Oryzias latipes: one gene and its partner. The protein of the gene in region 1 interacts with the protein of each later gene in a pairwise test. Links are inferred from orthologs where the notes say so. Each region holds a gene or a part of one and is shown in the gene's direction. Other genes may lie near its edges. The genes, in order: tada2a and sf3a3.

Region 1 (15,176 bases):
CAGTACATCCAGAATGCTGCTGCTCGAGTCCTGACCAAAACCAGGAAGTATGATCACATTAGTCCTGTGCTCAGGTCTTTGCACTGGCTCCCTGTACCTCAAAGAATAGACTTCAAAGCAGCTCTGCTTGTGTACAAGTCTCTCCATGGCCACGCACCAAAGTACATCTCTGACATGTTAGTGCCATATGAACCATCTCGTACTCTGAGGACCTCAGGGACCGGCCTCCTGTTGATTCCCAGAGTCAGAACTAAACAAGGGGAATCAGCATTTCAATATTCTGCAGCTAAAATCTGGAACAGCCTCCCTGAAGGCGTAAGACAGGCCTCTTCTGTGTTCATGTTCAAATCTAGACTTAAAACATTTCTGTTTAGCCGTGTATATGACTGAAAGGTCCTATCTGCACTTTTCTTTCCTTCCTTTCTTTTTAAATCTTTTTTTTTTTTTTCTTTTCTTTTAAAGTAAATTTTATGTTGATTATTTCTATGATGTATTGTGATTTTAATGCATTTTTCTGTTTTGTGAAGCACCTTGAATTACTTTGTGTACGAATTGTGCTATACAAATAAACTTGCCTTGCCTTGCCTTGCCTTACACATACATGTACTCGGGTATTAAAAGTTTATCTCTAAGTGCTCTTTGATTAATGTTGAGCTTCTGGTGGCGAAGTCTGAATAAATTCTTTTTTTTTCTCCAAGTTAAGCTGTCCCTCTTGGCTGCTGGTCTGCGTGAAACACATCTTGGCAGTTCTTGAACTCATAAAACAAACGCTGCACAGAGCAAAAGGGTAGCATTATCCAGGAATAATGTGCTGTTAGTTCCATCCAACAAATCGCTGCATACTCCTTTTCTGTGTCTAATAGGAATTAATGCAAAAAGATTCTGTTTAATTCAAGCAAAGGTATTATTAATTTGTCCGCACCTGTAACCTCCCCATCTTAAAGACGCCCCCCGCCCATTTGTCATTATTCCATTATTACTGCATCAAACTCTTGTTTCCTGTGTCACAGGTCAAGGTGAAGCATTTTATTAAAAAGGACACACATAGCCAGTCTCTGGATTTATGTTGGAAAAGGGTTGGGTTGGTTGGGTTTTAGATTTTCTATTAGTTTACTTTGTGTGTAAAACTCTGCTGAGTGTCTGTCTCACCTTTTAAGTGGAGTTTCTGACACTAAACTATTCCCTCAGTTCTTTTTAAAATCCAAAAGGTGACTTTTAAGGCAAATAAATAAATAGAAACACTTTTTTCCTTCTGTAAACACTCTCCTCAGTGGCTGAAATCACATCGATTGATACCTGACAGAATGTCTCTATAGAGGGTTGGGCTGCATTGGTTGTCATTATATGTAATCCATTATGAACCTGAAGGTAAACAACTGTGAGGTATCAACAAAGATGTTCTGCTGGAGTGTTTCGTAGCTCTGCATGGGAAAAACTAACATTCCACACCCACTTGCTGACCTCCTTGAACTCCCGCTGTGCTGATTCCTCAAAGGCGCCTTGGCATGGAGAGAAGATGCCGCTGAACTCGCTGGAACGAGGAACACATGTGAAGGGGGAACCTTTCATCAGCAAAAGCGAATGATGACACATATTTTTGTTGACGCTTTTTTTGTTTTTTTGTTGATTTATTCAGATCAAACCAAGTACTCTGGAAAAAAGTCACGTTTGCTTGGATGGTTGAATAGTTTTGTGGCTGCGTTTAAATGTGAAGTGTGCAGTTGTGTGTCAACAGCTTGGAAAACACTTGAAAGTCAAGGCTGGTGGAGGCTTCCAGGCAGAAAAAACTACACTATTTAATGTAACTGAGTCAACACACTTAGCTCTGAGTCTTAAGACGGGATTTTGAGTTACTTCTGTCATGTGGGGATTCCTCCAGATTGAGACACTCTTCTGTCGAGATTTGGTTCTCTGGTTTGTCCGCTTTTCCTACCATCTCTTCTAAGTCAGGAACCAAAAACATGAAAGTAGTTAACAGCAAATCTGGAACGTGAGTGTGTGGCAATATGCAGTGGAGCTGCTGTTAAAATCTGTCATTGAACAAAGGATGCTGTCTGCCACTTGACAGCTGCTCCACTGTGTCTTTGTGTTTTTGACTGCACACACAAACGTGTACATCTGCCCACGTTAGAACGCTGACACTGCTTTCTTTGCTTTATCTTTTTGGTGTTTTGTTCTTTAGATTTGCTCAGTCGTGTTTAGTTTTTGGCATTTGATGTAATCTTATTTAGTCTTTAAGTTCTGTTTTGGGTCTTCCCCCAAGTTACTGTTACACCAGATCTTAGTTTCTAATTATCAAGTTATCCTGTTTCAACTGGGAAGTCCTGTTCAGTATTAAAGACTTTAGTTTTTTTATTTTTCGGGCATCAGGTCTTTTGTATGTTGCACTTTTTCGTGCTACTCTGGAAAAAAGTCTTTCTCACAGAAAAAAAAGAACAAGACATTTCTCTGTTGTTATAATTGAAAAAAATCTGCCAATAGAACTAATTGTTTTGCCCTTTTAGATTAAATAAAGCTTGAAATAGGCTTTAAACATTCATATTAAAGTGTATTGCTCTGGTAATTGGAAAAATGATTTCTTAAACCAGGCGTGTTTTGCTCATAAAAAGTTTAGCATCTTTAGCAAGTATGTATATTTAGACACTTGTCCTCCAAAATACATCCAATTTTAAATACTACAGCAACTATCCAACTATCCTTATTTCTAGACCATTTCACCAAAAAATAAGAATACTATTTAGAGCTGCAAATTTTAAAATAAATATGTTTTAAAATATATATGTAAATAAAACGAAATCAAGAAAGTCAGTTAAATAAGAGCTTTCAAAAATAAAACTTTAGCTTACAAGAAAAGTTTGAAAAAGTGTTTTGTTCAAGAATTCAAGATTAAATGACTCAACCAAAAATTCAAGATGTATTGTCTTAAAACAAGTCATAACAGCGTACTGTACAGTTACTGTTAAGTTAGTTTTGTCTTATGTCAAGTATAAAGGGATAATAAAAGCTAGATAAAAATACTTGATGAGATTTTGTATTTTTTCCAATGTACTTGTTATATGATATTATGTTTATCTTTTATCAGACACGGGTGTCCGATAAAAGAAGAGCCTAAGATTTCAGTTGTCGATACAGACACTGTGAACTTTATTGAACTAGTACTTGTTATATGTCTTGGTTTATTCTCAAAATAAATAATATTTTTTTTAAGTTAATTTTGTTTCTTGAACATCGGAAAAGACATAATAAATGTATATATTAACCCTTTTTTCAGAGTTTTGTTGTCTATGGATGAGAAACTGACTCAAGTTATCAGATTTGATCACAAATCACAAAATGTTTTTACATTTTTTTTAAACGTTTATAAAAAAGCTTCAAGAAAACGCCTTCTCCTGAAAGAAGCTGGTTTGCCACAGTAAGAATAGCGCAGCTTAATAAATGTCATCAGCTCTGCTGCTACAGTGAATATAAATCTTTGATTGAGGCTGTCTGTCCTGCACTTGTCCTCCTCCTTTTGTCTTTTGTCCAGACTTTTTTCAATGGCCTGTGTCCATTCCTTCTCCTTATGTTCCGAATTGACCCATTTGTATTCTAGGATTTTTCATTGGCAGGAGCAGATTAACTGCTTTGTTTGGTGCTTTTTTTTTTTGTCAAGGCCCTGAAGGCGTGTGCCAGATGCCCTCTTTTCTTCACGGGGCCCTTATATTTAAATCACAGCAGCTGGGAGGTGCATTTGCTGGAAGAAAAGACGTGTGCACTAAAGGGGGGGCATTTTTTATTTTAAGAGTCGGGCTTCAGTTATATTTTGGCAAACAGCTGTAGCAGAAAAAGATTTTTGCTGCGTAAAGGCGCCGGAGGAAGGGAGGAGGTGGAACAGGGATGAAGAGTCAGACGGTCCTGTGCCTCCCCCCAAGGCGGTGATGCTGAAGCAGAGGCCATCGCAGGGGAGCACACACGTCTCTCTACAAATCTGACACGCTTTTCTTTGTTACTGTCCGTATGGAAAATGCATTCATTCTGCATTTCCTGCCAAGATGTGAATTCCTACTGTGTGCTAATGCAAATCCTGACCGTGACATTTCAAATGGTCCTTACACATACAATTGTACTTAATTAAATGCAACTGCTGGGCACAGACGTGTCTTTTAGCCAACACACATCTATGAAATGCCAGCATCCCAGCAGAAAAAAATGAACATTTTATGCCTTGTACAGTAAGTTCATTACAGAATAATTTAACGATCAGTAGTAGGAAGGACAATCACATTTGCTGTTTACGATGACATAGGAATGACAATGATCCCTCATTAGCATATTCTTCACCCAAAATGAAGGTTTTCAAAAGGTTTTTAGCTTTAAAACTTTTGGTTCAGACCAATCATGACAACTGTTATGACACATAATTAAGATACCCCTTGAAACAAATCCCTTAAACATATAGCTTTGTGGAGCTTTGTCTGGTTTTATTAGACATTTTTCTCTTTGTTTTGATCATATCTTTGCTTTGTTTTTGGAAAAATAATTTTTTTATTTTGTCTGTATATGTTCAAGCTTTGCCATGAGACATAAAAAAACAATTTGATTACATTTTTTGATGTTTTTTTTGCAGTAAAAAAGGACTAACTTTACCACTCAGGTCAGTTTCAGGTTTGTGGTGAAATTGCTGTTCAATATGATGAGGAATATCAAGGAAAGAAAATAATCTGGGGTTTTACTAAAACAATGGATATTAAAATTGACACATAAAACGGTTATAAAGATAAATTATTATGGTCACCGTAAAAATCTCTCAAAAAGTCCCCAGATTGGTCTCATGCCATTTCAGCCGATTTTAGGCCTCCTTAGAATCTTTAAGGCTGTTAAATAGACCTTTAAAACAAAAAAAGCATGAACTTTACAAAGTTCTAAGAATAACAAACAAATATACTGAGTGCATGTTGGATCAATTAAATTTGAATAGAGAAATGTTTTAAAAAAAACACTTGAACAATAATAAATGACATCCAAAAATCTTCTAATTCCTGATCAATTTATTCCGAATTTAATAATTTAGTGAAACAAACAGTTGATAGAAGGGCTCTTCTGCTGAGATAGTCCTGAAAAGTTGTGGCCTTTATAGCCACGTTTGATCACACACTTGTGGGCATGTGGTGTGAATGCTGCAGCCAGGAACAAAAAAGGAAGCTCACTCTGGCTCAACACACAACAGCAAACCGTTACACAAAAAGGAGAAGTCTCTCCTCATAGGTGAATAAATCATGACCCTCTCAAAGGATGATTACAAGCTAGTATGACGGTGAGCTGGAAATTCCTCCAAAAGAGTAAGAGTGTGCGTGCATCTCCTTAACATACACAGACTATCGTTAAAAACCGTGTCTCTCCCTAGAGGCTCCAGAGATGAGTCGCAGGCTAGGATGCTACCGAACAGACCAATCAGGATGTATTGAACTCACAGAGAAGGCTCAAGCAAGCTGGAACAGAGCAGCCCATTCAGAGTTAACCCATCATGTGGTTTAGGAAGCTGCCCTCATCCTCTGTGGGGATTTGCAGTCTAAATATATTTGCTCTGAATCACCTCAAAGAAAGAAGGAATCAGATTTTCTGGTATCAATGACAGAAATGCAAATATTAGAATAAAAACTGTCATAATTAGTAACTGCAGAGAGGTTAAGAGGTTTCATGAAAATCAAACAGTCCTTTTTCCAGCCACATCTGTACTAAATCAGTCATTTCACTCAAATACTTATTTTTTCTACCTTTAAGTGAGTTTGGCACATGTGGATTTGCAGTTTTATGCATTAGGGTTTCAGATATTTGTTTTCCTAAGGCTCCTCATGGGCCCTCACTGGCATGCTCTTGAGGGTGTTTGAGCTGTTTTTGAATTGGGGGTGCCAAACCTGGACACAGGCACTGGAAAACATTGGTACTCATAAATATTTGCTGGTTTTCATATTAAAGAAAATGTCTTGAAGCCTTTTGCAGGCCAGGCAGCACCTCTGCAAAAAGTTTATGGAGGACAAAAAGCAGCATGGGGGTGTTGTGACACAGAACATTCATCATCTTTATTTCTATTTCTCACATGATGCTTATGCAAGCCTCAGGTAATCATCTGTGCTGGGAGGGAGACAAAGGCTTTCAGGGTGCTCATTGTTGCCTTAAGAGACATAGAGCAAGATCAGCACCTTGTGGCAATATAGGGAAGTACTGTCGTCATGGTGATGAGATGGAGAAACTAAAAACAAGTTAAAATCTCTCCCCATTGCAAAATAAATGTAAAACAAAAATCTTAAGAGAAGGAAAAGAAAGTTAAAGATGAAATACCTTTTTATAAAAATCATTTTGCATTAAAATGCAATATTCCATGTGGCTTTTTTATATATTTCATACATTTTTTTAAACAACATTTGTTTTCTGTTCAAATTTTTGAGTTTCTTCTGCCTTTGTAAGAACCTATGAGGACATGGCACACAACTATTAAAACATAATAGTATATATATCATTTTGTGTGGTGATACACGACCAAAACTATCGATATTCGGAGCTCGATTAGTTATGACGTCATCAGGCACATAGCCGAGTTCTGAAAAACAGATCGACCCAAATTCAATTTTGGTGTTGTTATTGAGAAGCAAATAGCAATTAAATGGACCGAATAGCGTCTTTTTCAGGTACGTATTGGCATTATTATACACACAGTTGAATTTATTGCAGTTTTACCAAGTATCCATCGACTTTTTGGAAGGTTAGCTGTTTTTGTCCATAAAGCAAGGTCTGCTAAGCTATCTTTAGCATTAGCATCGCCGTCAAAAACAATGCTATTTTTGTTTGCCGCAGTGATTTGTTGAAAATATTCGACCTGTTGTTGAGACATTCAACATTATCATCATTTTCAAGCTCGACTAGTAAAGCTAGTCCTTCGCCCAAGATAACATCTGTTTTGTGCATTCAAGTTTGCCCCAAAATCACGACTTTAGGCTATATGTATCTTTTTTAACTGCGTGTTGTTACTATTAAAACTGTTACTGATAATATATATATAATTATTCTGTTCATTTTAGATGACCCCTTTGATAAACCGCCTTGCAGAGGCTGCTCATCCCATCTAACCGAACCATACATCAAGTGCGCAGAATGTGGACCTTCACCTTTTTTGTTGTGTCTTCAGGTAAGCCAGATGAGGATGCTTATAATTTGTTTGTTTTGGCTCTTTAGAATGTGTGTTTGAACACAAACCGAATAACTCAGCTGTAACTTTACGCAGACAGACCACAGTTTAAACACTTTGGACAAAACCTTACGATTTTTTTTTTTAGCCCAGTATTTCCTTGTTGTTGTTGCAAAACTTCTTGGCAATAAATGTTAGACTTCTGCAAAATTAGTTTGCTTTATATTTTAAATGAGTCCATATTTGTGAGGAACGCGCATTTGTGCAATGAGCAGCAGAAGGTATGCAAGGTTTTCCAAATAGCCAAACTGCTTTTATTTCTGTAGCCATTGATTGACCCTTATTTTTGGAACTTCTGGAGGTTTCCACATCAGTGCCCGCCCAGCACTGATCGCCTTCCACAGATTTCTAACTACTATACCTGATTTGAGAAAAAAAATTCAAATGAAAGAACATGATGCCATCCCACGGCAGTGTATAATAAAGAGGTGTCAGGGTGTTCCGTCCAGTTCTTTCATGTTCCACTGATTATCCTGTTTCTTAACAATTGTTTTATTTATTTTTTACATTGCCAATACCATATATCTTCCAATAGTGGCTGGTCTTCAATTAATGTCAGGGCTATTATTGGAGGATATACGGTAAGTCTTACATCCATTATTAAATAATATATTTATTGCCTTAGAAACATTATTACATTTGAGAAAAAATCATGTAGCACAAATTAAAATACTTTTGCACTCTGAATTTTGAATTTGTTCAAATAGCATTAGATCGTATTGCTAAACCAAATAATGTTTTGTATGTATGTTCTTTATTATGAGTGTTAAGTGTTACATTTTCTAGGGTTTTCTATTGTTACAAATATTCTATGATAGATACAATTTTATTAAAAATTAAAATAATTGACATATTTAATTTTGTATCTATAAAATATATCAACTATATATTAATAAGTACAGTTTTTAAATATAGTATTACATTCTGTAGTAAAAGGGTATTAAAAGTACATTACAATGTTGTTGATCACATTTCTAAATGTGTTTCTTAAAAAGTGACGCTTTATTATAGTTTTATAGCACACTGATATTATGAAATCTTTTAAAATTATTTAAAAGGATGAAGTCAAATTGTGTCTAACCTGGTTTAATACTGTGCTTTCTCACACACCTGTGTTGAATACAAATTCTTTTGTTAGTTACTTCCAAAAATGCACTTGTTTTTTCTTTCTAGATTAGAACTTTGTTATTTTGCAAAATGATTTCCTTCACTGTTAAATTAATGGGGAAATAAATGACCAGATCTTTACGATTGGGTTTATTTGAAAAATAAGCCACATTATAACTGCTGCTTCTTTCATGGTCGTCATATCGATACAATTTATGAATTCACTTAATTTGCATGTAAGTTTTACTTTTCTCAGTTAAGAAAACCTCCTCAGTGCATTCAAAGAACTTTTATTTAATGAACAAATCGTGTCTTTTACCTGACCAGCTTTACCCTGAACTTATTTCGTTCCAGTGTTTTACCAGAGGATTTGAATACAAGAAGCATCAGAGTGATCACAGATATGAAATCATGGTGAGTGGAGCTGCAGTTGAGTTTCTCGGGTGTAGCTAAACATCATGTTTAGCGGGCATCTTTTGTGTTACCTCGACTCAGACTTCAGACTTCCCGGTGCTGGAGCCTGGATGGACGGCGCAGGAGGAGATGGCTCTGCTGGAGGCAGTCATGGATTGCGGGTTTGGGAACTGGTAAGAGGTCGAAGACATTTTACCAGTGTTTTCTTTTTGAATACACTTATTTTTACTAACTTCAAAAAGCAAGTTTTTAATGTTTTATCATTTAGCTATTTATCATTGGTGTCATGTTAGTTTCATTGTCTTTTGGTTTCAAAATGTGACAATTTTTACAAGTCATTTCTGCTGTTTAATGGAAATCTCACATTAATTATTTAAAAAAGAAGATTGGTGAAAATATTATTTAACAGTGGTTATATTGTTTTTTAATTTAAGTGTAATTTAGTTACTGCCTCGAAGTTTGGGGAAAAGCATATTCTGTCCATATATATAAAGCCTTTGTTTCATTTACAGAAAAAAGCAATTAGTATAATCAACAAAAAGGCAGCAGAGAATTCACTAATAATTTAATTGATTTTTTAAAAACTTTATTATTCATGTTAAAAGCCAAATTGAAAATTCTCCCAAACATCATTCAATCCGTTTTTTCTTTTGTTTCATAAGACGATAGCGACAGGAGGAAATATAATTTGCCACTTGCACGCACAACTAATAGACACACATATCACTATATGCAGTCAATCTATGCAACTCACTGGACAGTACATTGAAAGAAACTACAAGCATAGTTGCATAGATTGGAAAAAAAAAGCTTAAAAATGGGATATTTAAAAAATACAAGCAGAGAACTGAAGTAAGACATCCACAAACGTAAGCTTGAGACCGAGCTGGGTTAAGGAGGGGATAGAAATGTAGAAATGTAAAGTTTTGTTGTTTGTGTTGTTATTAACGTCGCAATGTGCTTCTTTAAAAGGAACAGATTAACGTCATTTCTGGATATAGAGCGCACCTGATTATAAGCCGCACCCATTCCATTTTTAAAGGATAAAACATTTTGTACATACATAAGCCGCACCTGTCCATAAGCTGCATGTGCCCACATTGAAACATGTGTTGTAGAATGAGGATGTGTATGTGCTGAAACCACGAGCCCTGTGTGTAAGAAAGAGGGGAGAGCGTGCAGCGCTAGAGGGAGGCTGTCACTTACTCTTGCACTGCTAGTGCTCCTTCCTCTTACACACACAGTGCACTGACACACACATACTCATTCTACAACACCAATATAGTTAGTTCATTGATAGTAGTTAGTTGTTACGGTTATTTGTTAATAAAGATTAGTGCGTTGTAATTATTACTTGTACGTAGGCCTGCACAATATACCGCAAATTTATCGTTATCGCAATATCAAGCTGTGCAATATGCATATCGCAAAAGACAGCAAATTTGCAATAAATGGTTACCTTAGATGTGGCCAAACAATCTTATGGCAGCTTGAAGTGTTTAATGGATTGAAAGAATCCCTTTCTGCATTTGACCAATGAGATGGACCTCTTCACGTTGTTAACTAATCGGATGGCGCCCTATTATGTTGTATGTTCGCCTCCTATGTCAACAAGGGTCATTTGTAGTATAATTTTTAAGCTGTTGTAATGGAATGGGAATAATATTTTTGGTTGTTTTGCTAATTGTTTATATACTGCAAATTATATCGTTATCGCAATATTAATTACTAATATCGCATATCGCGAGTTTTCTTCATATCGTGCAGTCGTACTTGTACCGGTATTCATTTGCGACGCAGCCGCCGGAGGATTTTGTGTTCATCACAGCGGTCATCAAAAATCCCACACCGTCACAGCTCTATTCCAAACAGTGCCTGTGACATGGCAGCAATATGGTAGTAACAGCACTAACAGGGCTTGTTAAAAAAAAACATACCGGTAAAAGTCACTGAAAGAAGAAAAAAAAAAGTCACTGAAAGCAGCAGTAACTTATAAGCACGCCTCTGCGTGACACGCGCCTCCTGTGCACTGAAACCATGGAGGTTTTCCTCCTCAGTGTCAGATTGGAACAGCGTCAGATATTCTTCCCCACACTCTCTCTGTCTCTCTTTCGTTGTCGCTGTCATTGTCACTCTGAGGCAAATTCACTCCTGAGCCGGGTTTTCCAAACCCGTTGGTGATGGTGGATTTTTTCACACTGCTTTTAACGATTGGTTTTAACTTAAAGCTGCTTAAGCATTTCTTCTTGCATTTTCTATAATGAGGGTCTTTTTGTGCTATTCATTCCCAAAGCGGGAATTCACATTAAACTTGCGTCTTCCTCGACACATATACCGTATTCCCCCTGCTCGAGCGCCCCTAGCGGGCGTTAGAAAATATGCATAAAAAAAAGATAAAAATGCAGAAATTAGTCGCATCATTGAAGAAGCCGCAGGTTTGAAAGCGTGTGACAAAAGTAGCGGCTTATCATCTGGAAATTACGGTATATAAGAATTTTCTTCATGCTGTTCCAAATGTTCAAGCCTAAAGAAGGGCTAATTCATTTTTTTTGGAACCTCTACATCTGAGTACGGTAATTAAATGGAATGAAGGTAATAAGAATACCAGAATACTAGGCAGTTGCAGGTTTAATTAAAACTTCAAATTTGTATCTTTTAATCCGTAAAAACATCATCTTTCACACATGCCATGTTGAGAAAAGTCCTCTAATTGTCTGCGTTCATTCTTCTCAGGCAGGACGTGGCATATCAGATGCGCACAAAAACCAAAGAGGAGTGCGAGAGCCACTACATGAAGAATTTCATCAACAACCCCCTGTTTTCCTCCACCTTACTCAGCCTGAAGAAAACGAAAGATTCTCGTTTTGCAGAAGGAGCAATCCCCTTCAAACGTATGTTCCTGCATAGTGACTCTCCTTTCATTTGATTCTACAGAGAAGGAATGAGATGAAGGCATCGTGCATGAAGAAAGCACCTCAGTACATTCACATTTACTCATTTAAACGACACGCTAAAAAGCTGTTTCCTATAATGAGGGCAATGTGGGGTAAAGGGCCCAAAGACACACAATAACTGTCTGGGATTTGAACCCTTGACAGCTTGCTAATGCGTTAAACGTAGGCAAAGCTGATTGTTTGGGGTTTAATTGTGTTTTAAATCTGTTTTGAAGGCTATTGGTGAAGATATTATTTATTGATCATCTCCTCTTTAAGATTCACAACTACTTGTGTAGAAATACTCAGAAATGCAATTTTATGTTTCATTTTATTTATTGATGTAAAAGCACCAAAAACGTGATGTTCATGGGAGTGGGTCTTTAAGTCTTCTTAGAGGAAAGCTGTTCCACAGTCTCAGAATTTCCAGAAAAGATTAATGATATTATATCTACAAATAGTCTAAATGTGGACAGGAGCAGCAGGTAAAGGTGGTTGCAGTCAGTGTCAGAGCTTAAAAACAAATCCAAGTACAGTTTATTCACGAGTCCGTTTAAAAATCTTCACATCAGTGACTGTGAGATCTTTATTTTTTTGTGCACCACACTCCAGCCTGTGACGACCCGCCCCGGCCCATATTTGACTCGGTGCTCTCTCGGGACATGGCGGGTTACATGCCAGCCAGAGCAGACTTCATGGAGGTGAGGCCACTGTCATTTTTGTGTTCTAACGTAGCCTGTCCATGTGAATGAATTGCCACAGCAGAGCTGTGAGTGAGTATTATTGAACCGAGGCTCACGCCTTTGTTGCTGCTTTTGAGGCATCAGATCTTCTGCTCTGTGGACTTTAATCAAGCCAGTGGGATTCTCAAATCATCTTTCATGTGTCTCTTTAGGAGTTTGACAACTACGCAGAATGGGATTTAAAAGACATCGACTTTGTGGACGATGACTCAGACATCCTTCACGGTGAGATTTTCCTCTTTGCTCCACTGCGCTCTAGACCATAACAGCTATGAGTTTAATGCTCGTCTGGGATGTGTGCTTCTTTTTTTTCAGCTCTCAAGCTTGCAGTTGTTGATATTTATCATTCAAGGTTAAAGGAGCGGCAAAGAAGGAAGAAGTAAGTTCTTGTGCATTCGTCATCCTGTAATAACACCAGTTAATCAACAGATGGCGCCATAAGCGTCTGTTCTGATCTTCTGGAGATTTGTTTCCCCAAACACAATCTTCAGGTAGAACATAGCCAAAAACCCAAAAACCCCATCTTCTTTCTATTTAACAATTACGCATCAGTTATTACAAACAGTTATAATTTGATAGCAATAAAACTTTAAACAAAAATGAAGATATAGCAGAATAAGTGATGCTTTTTCATTAGACTTTTTCCTCAGCTCTTGTTAAGATGAACATCGTTAGATTGAGGTGAGAGGCTCTAAATGAAGCTACTTTTATTTCCTAAATATTTTTGCAGCATCGCAGGCAAAGGCTACGTCTTTGTGAACAGTTTGACTTTCTGCCCAGTTTTGGGCTGGCAGGGCAACTGTTTTTCCTGCTGGAAGAAAACACTTTCAAATTCACATGAACAATTTTTTTTCCTTCTCTTTTCTGCTTATCTGTGCAAATGTGGAGCTTTTTTAAGTGGTGACTTTCAATATTAGTACTTTTTTGTGTACCTTTAATATTCAAACTGGTTAAAATTATCTTACTGCATAAAAAATATGAAATCACAGTTATGTTTTACTTAAAATATATTTTTTTATTCAATGAGAGCTTTATGATTAGAGGTTGTTTTTTTTCATAGCCAGCTAATTTCTGTTCGGTTTAGAAAAGAAAATGTTGCAAGCAACTTTAAGTACTTTCATGGAAATAAATTTTTGATTCCTGGAACATGCTGGAATGTCCTATTAGGTTGGGCACATACCTTTTTTTAGACACTTCCTTTCTTTGTTTTTATTCCGGCAATAAACCTCTGCAATCACATTTGACAGAATCTGCAGCTCTCTCAAATCAGCTCCTAGAGACTCTTTAGGTTTTATTAAAAAAAACTACAAGTTATTCATGTTTATTTCTGTATAGATATGTGTGACATCATCAGATGTATTTTCTGTACAGCATCACCGTCAGAAACTGTGTTTTTAAAAATTATATTTCAAAGGAAAACTGTTGATGATAACAAATCAGATGGTAATAGTAATGTAAGCTCTGTCTTTTATCATATTGCAGACAGATAATCAGATCTTGTTAGTTATCCTGTACCAAATAAAAATCCTAAAAGGTTTATGTTTACAAATGTTTGTACTCAGAAGCAAAAGTGTCAAATTTTGTGGTGATATTGAAGAAATGTGTTTTTATTTGATAAGTTTAGTTTTTCACCGCCCTCAAACTGATTTATTTTTAGCTGAGTTCAGTTGAGTTCTGTGAATATTGAGTCTGATCCAGTGTTAGTCGAACTTTTGGGTGGATGTGAACAGCAGCAGCTAAACCGACATCCTGGTGTCTTTCAGGATCATCAGAGACCACGGACTGATCAATCTCCGTAAATTCCAGAGTGAGTCTCCTGCTGAGCCCCCCCCCCTCCCATGACGGTTTTCATAGCAGCTCTCTGCTGTCAACCTGGCGCTGACCGTGGACGCACACCAACATTTCTGTGGTGCTTTGTTGTGGAATCGGATGAAGCTTTAGCTCCAGGGCCTTTTTTTTTTTTTTTTTTTTTTTTTTTTTAAGCTAGTGTCCACCTGTTTGCGCTTTGACTCCAGCAAGCTGGATGATGCTTTGCATCTGTTGTTTGAGATATTTTCTTGTTACAAAAAGGGGAGGGCAGCTGTGATTAGATTAGTTCAGTCCACCCAGCCCACAGTCACACCTCGACGTGTTGCTGTGTAAAAAGCTGTCTGCGGTTTGGGAGTGGAACAGATCTCCTCTCATGTTTTATTTATGTTTCCTTCACCCTCCAGTTTGCCCTCCTCCTTTTTTTTTACCTTCTCTGCCTTATCTTTCCAGCCTTTCAAGACAAAAGAGAATTTGAGTGGCTGTAGAGCTGCAGGCTGGTTGTCATGGAGACTGTCAAAGTGTGTGAGTGTGTGCGTGTCTTTCGCTGTGGGCTCACTGTATTATGTCTCTGTGCTGCTGGAGGCAGAATGACCAGGTGGTTATGTTTGTGTGCTGGAATGAACGAAGCACACCGGTCCTGCGCTCTCGTCTCCATGTCGACCAGAATAGCTGTGCTCTGTGTTTTCACTGTTGGGTGAGGAGCATGACCTCAGGTGAGGTGGCAGCTGCTAATTAAGGCTGAAGTCCTATGGTCGAACTTGACCAGGGCGTGTGCGCGGCCACTCCTCGCGTCACAGCAGCTCTGCTGCCTGCTGTTGACGCTCATCTGTTGCTCGGCAACAAATGGCGCCGGCTTTAGTGTGTGTCCGCCTGTTGAGTCAGTTAAGTATGGCAAATGCACATCAGCAGAGCGATAAAACGACAAAATACAGTGAGGTTTTTTTGTTT
Region 2 (15,449 bases), on another chromosome or scaffold:
TCACATCAGCCTTCAACAACGGAACCGTCTGCGGGAGGCTCCGTCCAGGTTCTGACCACCACACACCAGAGAGATTAACCAAGCCGCACACCCGAACCCCACTGTCGAACGAGTCTCCAAAGAGTGCTTGAAGAGGCAGAAAAGGATTAGCACCGTCCCTACACAGAACCCGACTCAGTTCGACCCGATGAACTTTCGTGCGAGGAGAGTCAGCGAGGCCGCAGCCAGAGACAGTGCTGACTTCACCGAGCGCCTCTAAACGCCGCACAAAGGCGCCATTACTCCTGAGCTGTAGCCTGGACTAACCTATCTGCAGCCCTGGGTTGATGGGCTCCGCTGACCCCGGTCCCTGTGCTCTCAGGCGGACTGTCAGAACACAACCACGAAACCCACGTCGTAGTCAATTGTTCAGTTCACGCGGCAGCTTCGTGAATACCATCTATGTGCGCGGGGAGACTGCGTGCCTCCGCCGCTGAACGCAGCACGTACGTCAGTCTGCGGAGAGGAGCTTCCGGTTTCATCCCCCAAAATAAGAGCTCATAGAATTGCTTTATTCATTGAATTTTTTAAACTGTTTTCAAATATCTATCGAGAATAAAAAAAACATTTTCTTTTCCGTGGATTAAATTATTTTTAACTCTTTCTTTCTCTTTCGGCTTTTCCCATCAGGGGTCGCCACAGCGAATCATCCTTTTCCACCTCACTCTATCATGGACATCTTCTACCCTAACATTAGCCAACTTCATGTCCTCTGTTAAGACATCCATGTATCTCCTCTTTGGCCGTCCTCTTGCCCTCCTGCCAGGCAGCTCCATCTCCAACATCCTTCTACCAATATATCCACTATCCCTCCTCTGAACATGTCCAAACCATCTCAGTCTGGCTTCTCTGACTTTGTCGCTAACACAGGCAACATGAGCCGTCCCCCTGATGTACTCGTTCCTTATCCTGTCTAACCTGGTCACTCCTAAGGAGAACCTCAACATCTTCATCTCCGCTACCTCCATCTCAGCCTCTTGTCTCTGTCTCACTGCTACCGTCTCTAACCCATAGAGCAGAGCTGGTCTCACCACTGTCTTGTACACCTTTCCTTTGAGTCTTGCTGGCACTCTTCTGTCACACAACACTCCTGACACTTTCCTCCAACCGCTCCAACCTGCCTGCACTCGCCTCTTCACCTCTTTTCCACACTCCCCATCACACTGAACTGTTGACCCCAAGTACTTAAACTCCTGCACCTTCTTCACCTCAGCCCCCTGTAACCTAACGCTTCTACCTTGATCCCTCTCGTTCAGACACATGTATTCTGTCTTACTACGACTGACCTTCATGCCTCTTCTTTCCAGAGCAAACCTCCACCTCTCTAGCTGTTCCTCCACCTGCTCTCTACTCTCACTGCAAATTACGATGTCATCTGCAAACATCATTGTCCAGGGAGATTCCTGTCTTACCTCGTCTGTCAGCCTGTCCATCAGCATAGCAAACAAAAAAGGACTCAAAGCTGATCCTTGGTGTAGTCCCACCTCCACCTTGAACTCCTCTGTCTGACCTACAGCACATCTCACCACCGTCATACTTCTCTCATACATGTCCTGAACTACTCTGACATACTTCTCTGCCACTCCAGACGACCTCATACAGTACCACAGCTCCTCCCTCGGCACCCTGTCATACGCCTTCTCTAAATCTACGAACACACAATGCAGCTCCTTCTGACCTTCTCTGTACTTTTCCATCAACATTCTCAAAGCAAAAATGGCATCAGTGGTGCTCTTACGGGGCATGAAACCATACTGCTGCTCACAAATCTCCACCTTCTTCCTAAGCCTGGCTTCCACTACTCTTTCCCACAGCTTCATTGTGTGGCTCATCAACTTTATTCCTCTATAGTTGCTGCAGTTCTGCGTGTCACCCTTGTTCTTAAAGATCGGAACCAGAACGCTTCTCCTCCATTCCTCAGGCATCTTCTCACTCTCTATAATCCTATTGAACAACCTCGTTAGAAATTCCACTGCTGCCTCTCCTAAGCACTTCCATACCTCCACAGGAACGTCATCAGGACCAACGGCCTTTCCGCTCTTCATCCTTTTCAGAGCCTTCCTAACCTCATCCTTTCCAATCTCTGCTACTTCCTGCTCCACAAAAACCACATCTTCCTCCCTTCTTTCCCTGTCATTTTCCACGTTCATCAGCTCCTCAAAATACTCCTTCCATCTTTTCTGTACACTCTCCTGGGTTGTTAGCACCTTTACATCTCTGTCCTTAATCACCCTTATCTGTTGCACGTCCTTCCCATCTCTGTCTCTCTGTCTGGCTAGCCTGTACAAGTCCTTCTCTCCTTCCTTTGTGTCTAACCTGTCATATAGCTCATCGTAAGCTTTCTGTTTGGCCTTTGCCACCTCTCTCTTCACTCTACGCTGCGCTTCCTTGTACTCCTGTCTACCTTCCTCAGTCCTTTCTACATCCCACTTCTTTTTAGCCAACCTCTTCCTCTGGACGCATTCCTGTACTTCCTCATTCCACCACCAAGTCTCTTTACCGTCTTTCCTCTTTCCAGATGACACACCTAGCACCTTCCTACCTGTTTCCCTGATAATTTCTGCTGTAGTTTCCCAGTCATCTGGAAGCTCATCCTGACCACCCAGACCCTGTCTCAACTTCTGCCTAAATTCCTCACAAGTTTCTTCATTCTGTAGCTTCCACCACTTGGTCTTCTTTTCTGTTTTCCCTCTCTTCTTCTTCCTGACCTCCAGAGTCATCTTACACACCACCATGCGGTGCTGTCTGGCTACACTCTCTCCTACCACCACTTTGCAGTCAATAACCTCTCTCAAATGACCTCGTCTACATAGGATGTAGTCCACCTGGGTACTCCTACCTCCACTTCTGTATGTCACTCTATGTTCCTCTCTCTTCTGGAAGTAAGTGTTGACTACAGCCATTTCCATCCTCTTCGCAAAGTCCACCACCATCTGTCCCTCCAGATTCCTTTCCTTCACACCAAACCTGCCCATCACCTCCTCATCACCTCTATTGCCCTCACCAACATGCCCATTAAAGTCTGCTCCAATAACAACTCTCTCTCCTCTGGGGAGACTCTGTATGACCTCATCCAACTCACTCCAGAATCTCTCCTTCACTTCTAACTCACAGCCAACCTGTGGCGCATACCCACTGACTACATTCACCATCACCCCTTCAATTTCTAACTTTAGGCTCATCATCCTGTCTGAGACTCTTTTCACCTCTAGAACACTGTTTACAAACTCCCCCTTCAGAATCACTCCTACCCCGTTTCTCTTCCTATCAACACCATGATAGAACAGTTTGTATCCTCCTCCAATACTACGTGCCTTGCTGCCCTTCCACCTTGTCTCCTGCACACACAGTACATCTACCTTCCTTCTCTCCATCATGTCTGCCAGCTCTCTGCCTTTCCCTGTCATTGTGCCAACGTTAAGAGTCCCTATTCTCAAACCTATGTTCCTGCCTTTTCCCTTCTCTCTCTGGCCACGGGCCCTTCTGCCTCCCCTCTTTCTTCGACCAACAGTAGTCAAATTTCCACCGACACCCTGTAGGTTAACAGCATCGGTGGCGGTCGTTGTTAACCCGGGCCTCGACCGATCCGGTATGTCTAAAGTGGTGTGGATGATTCGCATGGTTATTTTGGCAATTTTTACGCCGGATGCCCTTCCTGACGCAACCCTCTCTATTTATCCGGGCTTGGGACCGGCACAGAGGCAACTGGCTTGCAACCCCTGTGGCTAGATTGGATTAAATTATTTTTAACTAGATTATTTAAAATAAATTCACAATAAATTATATTGTCAAAGTTGTTCAAAAAAACAAATTCAGTTTGGTAGTTTGCTCATGCATGAGCAGTAAAAGGTAGATAATAGATGAAAAAGGTTAAATATGATAAAAAATAAAATTAAAAAAGAAGAAAAAAGACAGCAATAACCCAGCAATAACGGAACACAATATGAGCCATTAAAATATCTGTGTGGCATAATTAGTGACAATATTTTAGGTTCATCAGAGGCAGAATCAGATACACACAGAGAAGGAATGACAACTTTTGTTTATTCTGTTTATTCTAGTTTTCATAAATGTCTTTTCAAGAGGATTGTGATGTGAACAGATTGTGTCCTGGGTGGGGGTGTTTCACATCTGTGTTTCTGGAAGTCAATCATTAAATCTTTTGTTTTTCAAACGTTTAAATCCAGTTTTTTAAGCACACGATGCTGAACTTTTAGTTTGTTGGCAGCTTAATTAGTTTTTGTCCTACCACAGCTGTGTGGTGGAACTTGACAATGGTGTTTAAATGATCAGTTGTGGTTCAGTCTTGTGTAACTAATGAATAAAGAAGAGGGGCAAGGACACTGCCTCGAAGCGTTCCTGTGTTTAGGATGAGAGAGGATTAAGTACTGATAGTTTGTGGTAGATATTCTGAGAAGAAGAAGAAATTATCTCTGTGTGTCCGTTAGTGTCCTTGCAGCACTGTTGAATCTGTTGAAGACCCAACAGATTATAAAGGGTTAAAGTCAGGACAGACAGGAGGAAAACACGGAGTAAAATCAGAACACTGTGGCGCCAGTCAGAGACAGCAATCACTTTCCGATCTCTGAATGATTGATCGCTGCGTCTCCTGTGGAAGCAGAGCATCCAGGAGTAAAAGCATCCAATCAACAACTGCTAATGAATAAAAAACAAACAGAAGGTGTTGAGCGGCTGCAAAAAAAATGCTATTGGTCTTTACATTGCGTGGCTTAAAATATTGCATGGGCTAAAACATTTGTAAAATATTGAAATGCAGAATGAGTGTACTCTACAACGCAATTTGTGCAGTGTTGTTCTGCACATCATAATGGTTTTGGAGAGGGTGGATGATGGCACTTTTACCTACAACAAGGGTGTCACAGTCTGATACTGAATATGTTACTGAGAGATTTAACAGCATGATGACGGGTTAGGAGGGATTATCCATGATAGATGTCAGTTTTACCAGCCTCCTTCTGATTCAGACTTCCTCAATAGTAGCCAGTTTGTAGCCCAGGGCCGAGCCAGCTCCCTTGATTTTGGGAGGACTCACAAAGATGTCCCCCAAGTGACACCCTGGGCAAGGCGAGATCCCCTTGCTCCCCCCTTGCCGATGGAGGTAGTGTCTTTGTCAGTTGAAGCTATCCGGAAATTGGGATTGGTGATGACCCATGTCCTTGTGAAACACATTATACCGAATTCTCTGCTCTCTCCCTATGTCCTGATGAACACTTTCACTTCATCCATGTAATTTGCACAAACCTCACATTTTCATTGATGACTGTGGGAATGCAGGACTTAAACTTCTTGTTCTTCATCCTCTGTTAGAGCTATACTCTGAAGCATCACCACCTCCTCTCTAAGGTGGGTCTTTCTAGCTTGAAAGTCTTAAATTCATATTTTCAAATGTATATTTGCCTCTAACTGTCAAAAACAACGAGAATCTGCATTTCTTGCTCATATACAACATTATAAAACACGAACAATGCAATGAAGTGCATTTTTTCCAGGCAAAACATTTACACTTCCAGTCTAGTTTAAAAACAACATTCCTTAAAAAAAAGTGACAAAACCAAAAATATTTTATATTAATGAGATTCCACGATCTAAAAGTAATTTTGCAAACCAAGCTTTGAGTATTTTTATTTAAAGTAATAGTTTAGTGTATGTCTGTTAGGGAAGCGGTTATCAAAGCGGAACCGTTTTACTGGGGGGTGTTTCTTCAGAAACTTATCTGGTGACGGACCCCGGCGTACGTTAGAATGCTTCAATAGAAACAAACGTAGTAGCTTTTTTTTGGTTTCATTTAGCGTAAAAGACAAGAAGAAAACAGGCAATCAAACTACGAGATATTCCCGAAACATGGAGACTATTTTGGAACAACAGCGCCGCTATCACGAAGAGAAGGAGCGGCTCATGGACGCCAAAACCAAAGAAATGTTACAGAAAAAGTCAACGGTGAGCTTAGCCGCTGCAGGCTAACGTTGGCATTACGTGCCACGACGTTATCCTCCTAAAACAGAAAATTAATGGTTGTAATGTGTTATTTGTTGTTTCAGCTTCGGGATCAGATTAATTCCGACCATCGGATTAGAGCCATGCTCGATGTAAGTAGAATTTAAAAAAAAAAAACAACGTTTTGTTGATGCTAACACAGCGGCAGGCTTACGCCACCGCTACAATGCTTAGAGCATAGTATTAGTTCAAAAGCTACAGATAGTTTTAAAATAGACATTGAAACATTGCCTTCTTAACTTAAGATGAGCTATCTTAAAGACGACCAATCATCCATAAGCTGTTGAGACAAGTGAAAATTTTACTATATTTCCTACTATAGACAACTCAAAGCGAAAAAGTATATAGTGGAGTCAGAAGAAGGACACATGATGATGAGAAGGAATAAGTGTTTTTTACTCCGATTATGAACTCATTTGTCCAAATAGAATAAGGAGACACACAGGTAGGTGTTGCTGCTTCCATTCATCCAGCAGCTCCATTGACTTCCATTTTCCGGTTTGAACTTAAAAATTTTGAGTTTACCTTCAAAGCCATTCACAAAACTAGACCTGTCTGTCTCTCAGATCTGGACATTTTGTTTGTATGTATTTTACAAGTAGTATTATCTAAATGAGATGCAATATAAACTACTGAAAGCATAGCTGTAGTAGCTTTAAATGAAGAAAGGTTGTACAAATATAACAATAACAGGCCGTCATAATTAAGACTTTGAAACTAAAATGACAAAAGAAGTTGAGATGTTTATTTTGATGATAGCACTTTAAAAAAATGGAATTATTCAAGAATGCTTGTGTCTAAATGTGTTTCGTCAGAGATACATGGATGTCAGTGCAAACCTGCGAGACTCCTATGAAGACAAAGATGGGTGAGTGTTGTAGTCTTAAGAACCCACAGGTCTGAATCTTTTCTTTTTCTTTACTGCAGCTGTTTTTTTTCTTCTTCTTTTCTTTTGGCAGCATGAGGAGAGACGAGCTCGCTGCCATCTCTGGACCAAATGAGTTTGCTGAGTTCTACAACAGACTCAAACACATAAAGGAGTTTCACAGGAAGCACCCCAATGAGGTACAGAATCCAGAGTTGTAACAGCACTGCTTTGTGTGGTTTGACAGATGGAGTTATTTATAAACGCTGCTTCATATCAGGAAAAGATTTAAACTATAGAGTGTGTTAGTTATTGTGTTAGGAATTGTGTTAGGAAGGCCATCCTGGGAATCATAAGATGATTCCCTGTGGTACCCACTGTAGGGAACAACTGAAAGGTAAAGAAATAGACTCGGCCACTTAGGTATCAAAAAATACTTTTCCTGTTCTGGGGTATGGACATTATTGGATTATCAGTCAGAAGCGCAACACAAAGCCCTCAGTATGTCAAATGTGTGTTTAATAGACCGACACATTCTGTGCCGGAATGTTGCTCATTCTGCAGAGCTTGAGGGGAACTGCTCTCTTTGGAGCGACTGAAAGTTGTGGAGGAAACCTTTTTGTGCATCACAGGATTGTTTTGCAGAAAATGTCAGCAGAAGGACACTTGGTGTTTTAGTAATGGCCATAATCCATGTGGAATTGTTGATGGTCATGTGACCTTCATTAAACCGTTTTTTAACATGTTTTCCTTGTAGATTTCCATCCCCATGTCTGCAGAGTTTGACGAGTTGATGAAAGCCAGTGAAAATCTCAGTGAGGAAGCTCAGAGTAAGTCGGATCCACCTCCAAAGCATTCTTTATCTTGTTCTTCTCTTTTACAAACATTAACTCTTATTAACAAACAAGAGTTCTTTCTCAAAGTACACATCTGTTTTAGTTTTTCCACCTTTGGTGAGCTAGATCCTAAATTCATTTTTTTTTGGGGGGGGGGGCTTAAATGTAGGAATTCCCTTCACAAGCCGGCAACTAGCCGGCTTTAAGTCTTTTTTTTGTATTGTAGATAAAAAATATATATATATATATATTTGGTCTAAAGTGTTTATGGATTTAATTTTAAAGCCTTTGTTTTAGTTTTAGAAAAATCGAGCAGAATAGTTTGAGTCTGGTTTGACCCAGATTTTTGTCTGCCTCAGACATGGTGGAGTTCACGGATGAGGAGGGATACGGCCGCTACCTGGACCTCCATGACTGTTACCTGAAGTACATCAACCTGAAGGGGTCTGAGGTCAGGATCCATCAGATCTGCTTGATCCGTGTCCAGATTCACATGAAGGTGCACTTTCTAACTGCCCTGTGGTTCTCAGAAACTGGATTACATCACATACCTGTCTTCCTTCGATCAACTGTTTGACATCTCCAAGGACCGGAAAAATGCTGAGTACAGAAAGTAAGTGTTTGTTCCGGCGAAAGTTCCGCTGTTTTTCCGCACGCGAAGCATTAAGGTGGAAAATGCTGCCGGCTGTGCAGATACTTGGAGATGCTGCTGGAGTACCTGCAGGACTACACCGACAGGGTCAAACCCCTGCTGGACCAGAACGACCTCTACGGCAAAGTGTTGACCGACTTTGAGAAAAAATGGGACAACGGGACCTTTCCAGGCTGGCCTGTAAGTTCTCCTCATTTGTCCAAACGTTTGAACACGATCTCAGATTTAAGAAACGTTGAACATAAACGTTTCTGATGCAGAAAGAAACGAGCAGCGCTTTGACACACGCTGGAGCTCATCTGGACCTGTCTGCCTTTTCATCCTGGGAGGTACACAGCGTTCATGCATGACTGATTGATGCGGTTGTCTTTCCTGTTTAATGCGTTTCTCTGTTTCTCAGGAGTTGGCCTCTTTGGGGTTGGACAGGTTGAAGTCTGCTCTGATGGCTCTGGAGCTGAAGTGTGGAGGGTGAGTGCTGCTCAGCTCTGATTGGTCTTTTACTATAGGAGACCAATCAGCCAATTTCAAAGCCTTAACCTCTTTGGTTGTCCTGTTAAAACTAAATGTCCTCTGGGTGACGTCAGAGTTTACCTGTCCAGCAGTTGAACTTAAATAGTGATAAAACCCTGGGGTTTGTTGGACATTTCTGCTGTGGCCTGATGGGCGTGAGGAAAAACCAGCATGATGTTGTTTGCTCCAGGACTCTGGAGGAGAGAGCGCAGAGACTCTTCAGCACCAAAGGCAAATCTCTGGAGTCGCTCGATCCATCTCTGTTTGCCAAGAATCCAAAAGCCAAAGGCCCCAAAAAGTAAGCAGTTTTAAAAAGGTATCCAGTCTAAATTTGATGGTGTTTTGTTAACGTCTCTATTGATATTCCCCTCCTCCCCCTCAGAGACACTGAGCGCAACAAGGAAATCGCATTTCTGGAGGCCCAGGTGTACGAGCTTGTGGAGATCCTCGGGGTGAGTGTGGAGCTGGTGGACTGGCTTCTGGTGCAGCTGTGACCTCGGAAGTTATAGCCGCCGCCTCGCTTGTCCTTCACAGGAGCAGAGGCAGCTGACACACGAGAACGTGCAACGGAAGCAGGCCAGGACAGGGGAGGAGCGTGAGGAAGAGGAGGAGGAGCAGCTCAGTGAGAGCGAGAGCGAAGATGAGGATAACGAGATCATCTACAACCCCAAGAATCTGCCCCTGGGCTGGGATGGAAAGGTAAAAGCCACCCGAATCATTCTGTGACGAGCTCTCAGCTTCAGTCATCGGAAGCTTCCTCTTGTGATCTTCTCCTCTCCAGCCGATCCCATACTGGCTCTATAAGCTCCATGGTCTGAACATCAACTACAACTGTGAGATTTGTGGAAACTACACCTACAGGGGACCCAAAGCCTTCCAGAGGCACTTTGCAGTAGGTGTTCGTTGTCAATGTGGGGTGTGCGTTTAAACGCGTGTGGGGGTCAGGTGTGGAAAAAAACCCGTCTTGTGTTGCAGGAGTGGAGGCACGCTCACGGCATGCGCTGCCTGGGGATCCCCAACACGGCTCACTTCGCTAACGTCACACAGATCGAGGACGCAGTCTCCCGTGAGTGTCCCGCTTGATGGGTTTTGATGTGTGTGCTTGTTGCGAGGGGGGGGCGTGTCACCTCTGATGTTTGTGGGATGTTGCAGTGTGGGCCAAGCTGAAGTCCCAGAAGGCTCTGGAGCGCTGGCAGCCAGACACAGAGGTGAGGTTTCCTCCAGAAAACTGTTGAGAACATGATGTGGACATGTGATGTGGACATGTGAGGGCTCACTTCTCATCTTCCCCCCCATCTGGACTGACAGGAGGAGTACGAGGACTCCAGCGGAAATGTGGTCAACAAGAAGACCTATGAAGATCTGAAGCGGCAGGGCTTGCTGTAGTTACTCAGGAAGGAGAATCTCCATGATGACTTTTTTTTTTAAATCATAACTGCTTAAAGTTTCCTGTTTTAGTCAGTAGAATGTTTTCCAGCTTGAGTTTTTTCCTCATAAACCTTTCTAACATGTCAATCTGTGAACAATAAACTGAAGACTTTTTACACAGATCTGATTGTCTGAGTTTGTGCAGCACACTGACCCTCATCTGGGAGAAACACTTCTACTAGAATCCTTATATAGAATCCAATTGATGACATTTCAGAGCTTCATTGACAGTTTTTATCCTTAGGGAAAATAAATGCAGCAGAAGTCATATTTTCTGACATGTTTCAGCTCATAACTGTAAAAACGGACACTGATGTCTAAAAAGAAGATTCCTAGCCGCACGGGTGGAGTTATGACAGATTAGGTATTTTAGCTGTTGAGCTGAAAGGTTTCTGAGTTCTCAGATTAAAGAAGAACTTCTGGTTCTTTGTCTCCTTTTAAATCTGTCTTTCTTTTATCTGTTTTTTTGTATAATTTAAATACATTGTAAATCAGCAGGTGGTATTTATCCCGATTTTTTTTTTTTAGCTATACAGTCTTTACAGTCTAAATGTTTTTCCTATAGTTGTCAACCTGTCCAGCTGAAATAGCTTCAGTTGTTTAACTAAGGAGCTATTTTTAGTTAATAGTCTTTTTCTTTTTTTTTATGCCTTTATAGACGGGGTCTATATGCGCTTGCAGAGGCAACTTTCAAGGGACCAGTGGAAAATGCCAAAGCCTTCAGTTTTTAAGAAAAAACAGATTCAGACTCTTAAAAAGTAGTAAAAGTCCACATGAGATCAACACTGAAGATAAAACACCTAACTGTATATTTAAGAAAGTATTTAGTCAATGTTTTCTCAGTAAACATATCGAGATTAATGTTTTGTAATTCTGTTATTCTTCAGCAGACTAAAGAGCAAGCATCTCCCTCTGCTGATGTGCTGTGATTTAGGCCACAAGGATCCAGGTCTTACACACCTAAAACCGTTTCATGAGTTAGTAACTCAAAAGATTCCAGCATCACTGGTTCCAAAGTTCTGAATTGTTGGGATATTGCTGAATTCTTCCTTGCTTGTAGACTTGTTTGGTCGAATTTAAAGAAGGATGTATTTGAAAATGTTGGTTTGACACAGGAAAATCATGGAGCTTCTTTCAAAAGCATGGATTCACACAATCTCATAAAAACAGTGAGATGAGCTTTAAGGCAAGTTTGTACGTCAGATGGACCGCCGCTTCCAAGGAGGTGATGGAAAGAAGGAGGAACCATGGAAACATGTTGCCAGAGTGACCTGTATGCTCTGCCGGTCAAAATAAAATGATAAAGCCTCCCGAAAGAACAAAAATCCTGGAATCGCCCCTGTTCCTGCCTATATCAGGCAAGTCTGTAGGACCATCCCAGAGGGGGAGGAGCCTGAAGCTTTTTTCTTTTATGGTTCCTGCAGAGCAAACTGTTAGAAAAAAAATCCCACACAGGAATGTAAACAGACATACTATATATTCACTTAGAAAATTACAGCAAGAACAATCATGGAGTTAGACTTCCTTTTTGTGAGTATTGATGTCCACACATGTAAATACGTTTTGCATCTGCAAAGGAAAATTTTTAAGGGCTAAACAATTAAGTGCTTTTGGAAAACTGTACATGAAAGATTAACAGTTGTAAAATTGTTTTGCACACTTGCAAAAATGTTTTTCTATCTTCAGAAACATTTGTCGAATCTTCTTGTGTTATTTAAGAAACATAAGATCATGGGAAACCTTTGTCGCATTCATGTTTACAGTCAGACCTGATGTGCCTGAAGAGAACCAGATGTTAATGTGAAAAAATGAAGAAATTAAACAGGAAGATTTTTTTAAATGTATGCACCTGATTAAACTGACTGGTTTTCCCTTTTGTATTAGCTTATTTCCTAATTAATTTCTAAATTAATAATGTAGGTAATGTAGCTATAAATAATTTAAAAAAGAAAAAAATGTGAATATTGAATCTTGCCAGTGGTAAAGAATCTTTCGTTAGCTGGAAATATCAATGACGTTTCCTGCAAGACAGAAAATTTCAGTTATTGTGTCAGTGCCCCAAACTGATGTCTTTACCTGGATTGAATCAAAGTTTATTTCAATTTATAGAAAAAAACAGACAGAAAAGTTGGAAACATATACAAATTTAAAATAAATGAATTTAAAAAGAAGTGCTGAAAAACAAAGCAAGTGGCTGAGGATGAACTTTGAGGTTCTAAATGACAGAAAAGTCTCCCCAGTGTTTGCCCTGCTCACCGTTTCATCTCATTGTTCAGATCATCTTTACGGAGACTGATTTATACTTGGAGCAGAAAATCCAAAACTATTTGAAACACAGACAGCAAAAGCATGGTGTGGTCAGGATTATCCCAAACAAAATAAAAGAAATCTGTTAAACTTGCTTTGGTAGCTAAAAGTTCAAGAATTTCTCCTAGTTTTTAGCTACATAACACAAGAAACAAATGGAAAAACACTCATTTACATTAAATAGAGTAACATTTTGTAATCTAGTGAGAGGTGATACACCGACTGGCTGCTGACTGGAGAAATGTGTTGAGTATTTGATCTATTCAGATGAAATATTCCTGTCAAAAGTCAGAAAATGGGACTTAAGTTTATGTTTGTAAGCCCCACCCCTCCAAAGAAAACACTCTTGTGGGTGTTTATATGCTGTTATGAGGACATGTAAAAATGTCTGAAGACAGGAAAGGCTTTTTTTTCTACGTGAGCAAAACCAATGTATCGCTGTATGTGTGTTTACACAAAGACTAAACCGTATTACAAAATCACCAAATGATTCTCAAAGTTTTTAACAGATCCACAAATTTTGTTTGTAAAACATATCTACATGTGTGGAGATCATTTAACAACTGCAAAATAATTAAAAAGAATATTTCTCCATAGAGTGTCCTCATCATCAGGGGAAAATTAGAACCTGGAGAAACTGGACTTCTTCTAACCATCATAATGCAATCAGGAAAAGACGACTGGCTGCAGCGAAGTAGCTTTTGACCTATTGGTCACGGAAAGAAGAGGTTTTCTCAGAGACTGAGGCTCACATCAGCCACTTGTCCTTCTCTTTGTTGAAAGTCTCGGCCCACTGCCGGGTGAGCTGCAGGAAGTGGTCTGGCTGGTTCGGCTGGTAGTCCAGATACAAACGTGTGACTGTTTTCTTGGGCACGGCCCTTTCTATCTGCGTGCCTTCGTGCCATTGGTTGAAGGACGTGATGGTGACTATTTCTGGCCTGATGGACAGGGCGGCCTGCAAGGACGTCTCATAGTAACGCCCGTTGACCCGGTTTCGGGTGTTGTGGTTGTTCCACGGACGCACGGCGGTGTCGATGTAACCTGGACCCACACTAGGGATGAACAGTAGATTATTTGTGTCACAGAAGGCCTTGATGGCCTTCCAGTTCTGGTGGGAGGAGCCAAACGAGAAGCCGTTGGAAGCAAAGTAGGTGTACACGCCGTTGAAGCCGCTGGCCAAAATGTCATACTTGTGGCGCTCCTCGACAATGAGGGCGAGGAAAATCCCATCGTATGGCGTGCCTCTGATGCTCCTGGAGCCTTTAGCTGTGAGAAGCTCCGCCCAGGACTCCGACGGGGTCAGGTAGGAGTCGTAGATGTAAAAGAGCGGCAGGACTTCTCCTGTGCTGGTCCTGAATCTGTAAAAGGCAGCATGTTTTCCATACCTGTGAAAAAAAAAGCATTTAAAATGAGTCAAAATTATGATGCAGCCATGATTTATCTGCAGTGGTATTCAGCTGAATGCACCAATCAAATAAATCATGCCACATGAAAGACCTCTGCAGTCTGATAGCAACAGTTGCTAGGCACGGCTGAATTAACTCCATACGGCTGCAGCGCTTGTGGAGCCAAACTGGAGCACATGAAGTTTTCATGGACTATTTTATTTTGAAAATCACAGACGTTTTCTTCTCTCTATCCTAAACTTCCTGTCTGGTTGATTCTGTTATTTACATCAACTAATGCCATGAGCTTCTCCGGAGGACCAGGTGAAGTGTAAAGTGATGACGCTTCACGGCTGCTTTCACCTTTAGAACAGGAAGTCCACCAATCTTGTCAAAATAAAACATATCTGAACAGGATTGCTACTCACGATTTAAAGTTAGAGACAGATAACCTAAAAGTTTAGTAATTTTTATCTTTTACAGAATAAAAAATAAAATACATATCCGACTGATTTCTTTTATATTAAGATGTGACTGAAGAGAGGCTTGATGTGATGTTCCCAGAGGTTCATCCTCCTCATCAGGGTTTCAGGAGCTCCTGCTCTGAAACACCAGTGGTGAGGGAGACAGCTCACCTGTCGATGATGTATCTGATGTTGTCATGCATGCTCTGGTCCGTCCTTCCTTTGTACGGCTGAATGTGGAAGGCCACCTGTGCAGAGACGAGCAGATGGACTGACTGTGATCACTGCATGACTGTTAAAAAATAAACAAACAAAAAAATAAACAGGTGCTCTGTCTCCACATGATTGTTAGCCCGAAACATGATCTGATCAAAAATTGTGCATTTTTATAAAAAGAGAACAAATGTCAGAAACAAGCACGATGGTTTCTGGTTGTTGTGCTTCTCAAAGCTGGACTGTTCTCCGGCTGTGATGGACGCAGATAATGAGAAGATGGATGGCCGTCTGATGCTGTACAGATAGAAGCTCATCAGGCCACTGTCTCTTTAGGCACCAAGCTAACATTCCTTCACTGTGTGGCCCATATTTTCAGTCTGCAGAAGTTCAACTCACTAAAATCCATTTTCCGCTTAACATGGTAGCACAGCACCGACGCTTTTTCACGCAGACATGCTGTGAAGCAGAAAAGTCCTCCTGTTCAGATTTTTGTCAGCCTAAAACCTTCTGGTTCAGCTTTGCTCCTGCTTCCTGGATCAGACATTAAAGTCCAACTCCAATCATCTTCTGATCTATTGTAAAAGCGTCCCCCAGCGGTCCTTTTATTAAGATGATGCCATTTTTAGCTCAAATCAAAGACCTGTGTTCTTTATTAAAATTTCACCTCTTAGTTTTGGGTGGGTTAGCTGGCACAGAGCAACCCCACCCCCCTTTCCCCTCCCATGTTTTAGG

The links.
Region 2: the proteins of tada2a (region 1) and sf3a3 interact in binary tests that used the Homo sapiens proteins (3 or more experiments, as listed by UniProt). The two-hybrid records come from large-scale screens. The link is inferred for Oryzias latipes from reciprocal best matches to the Homo sapiens genes TADA2A and SF3A3.

What each region holds. Positions count from the first base shown.
Region 1 is NC_019871.2:10,127,918-10,143,093, forward strand, and holds the start of tada2a (transcriptional adapter 2-alpha), read left to right. Parts: upstream 1-6,539; 5' UTR 6,540-6,640; coding exon 6,641-6,665; intron 6,666-7,055; coding exon 7,056-7,162; intron 7,163-8,683; coding exon 8,684-8,743; intron 8,744-8,824; coding exon 8,825-8,916; intron 8,917-11,476; coding exon 11,477-11,634; intron 11,635-12,288; coding exon 12,289-12,377; intron 12,378-12,571; coding exon 12,572-12,644; intron 12,645-12,734; coding exon 12,735-12,798; intron 12,799-14,182; coding exon 14,183-14,226; intron 14,227-15,176. UniProt on the Homo sapiens protein: Component of the ATAC complex, a complex with histone acetyltransferase activity on histones H3 and H4. Required for the function of some acidic activation domains, which activate transcription from a distant site. Binds double-stranded DNA.
Region 2 is NC_019869.2:17,927,336-17,942,784, forward strand, and holds sf3a3 (splicing factor 3A subunit 3), read left to right. Parts: upstream 1-5,746; 5' UTR 5,747-5,901; coding exon 5,902-5,997; intron 5,998-6,098; coding exon 6,099-6,146; intron 6,147-6,869; coding exon 6,870-6,922; intron 6,923-7,013; coding exon 7,014-7,119; intron 7,120-7,676; coding exon 7,677-7,749; intron 7,750-8,114; coding exon 8,115-8,206; intron 8,207-8,285; coding exon 8,286-8,368; intron 8,369-8,448; coding exon 8,449-8,587; intron 8,588-8,667; coding exon 8,668-8,736; intron 8,737-8,807; coding exon 8,808-8,875; intron 8,876-9,107; coding exon 9,108-9,215; intron 9,216-9,299; coding exon 9,300-9,369; intron 9,370-9,451; coding exon 9,452-9,616; intron 9,617-9,698; coding exon 9,699-9,809; intron 9,810-9,892; coding exon 9,893-9,983; intron 9,984-10,069; coding exon 10,070-10,125; intron 10,126-10,225; coding exon 10,226-10,303; 3' UTR 10,304-10,467; downstream 10,468-15,449. Other genes in the region: glycoprotein endo-alpha-1,2-mannosidase-like protein, read right to left, coding at 13,401-14,037, 14,673-14,749. UniProt on the Homo sapiens protein: Component of the 17S U2 SnRNP complex of the spliceosome, a large ribonucleoprotein complex that removes introns from transcribed pre-mRNAs.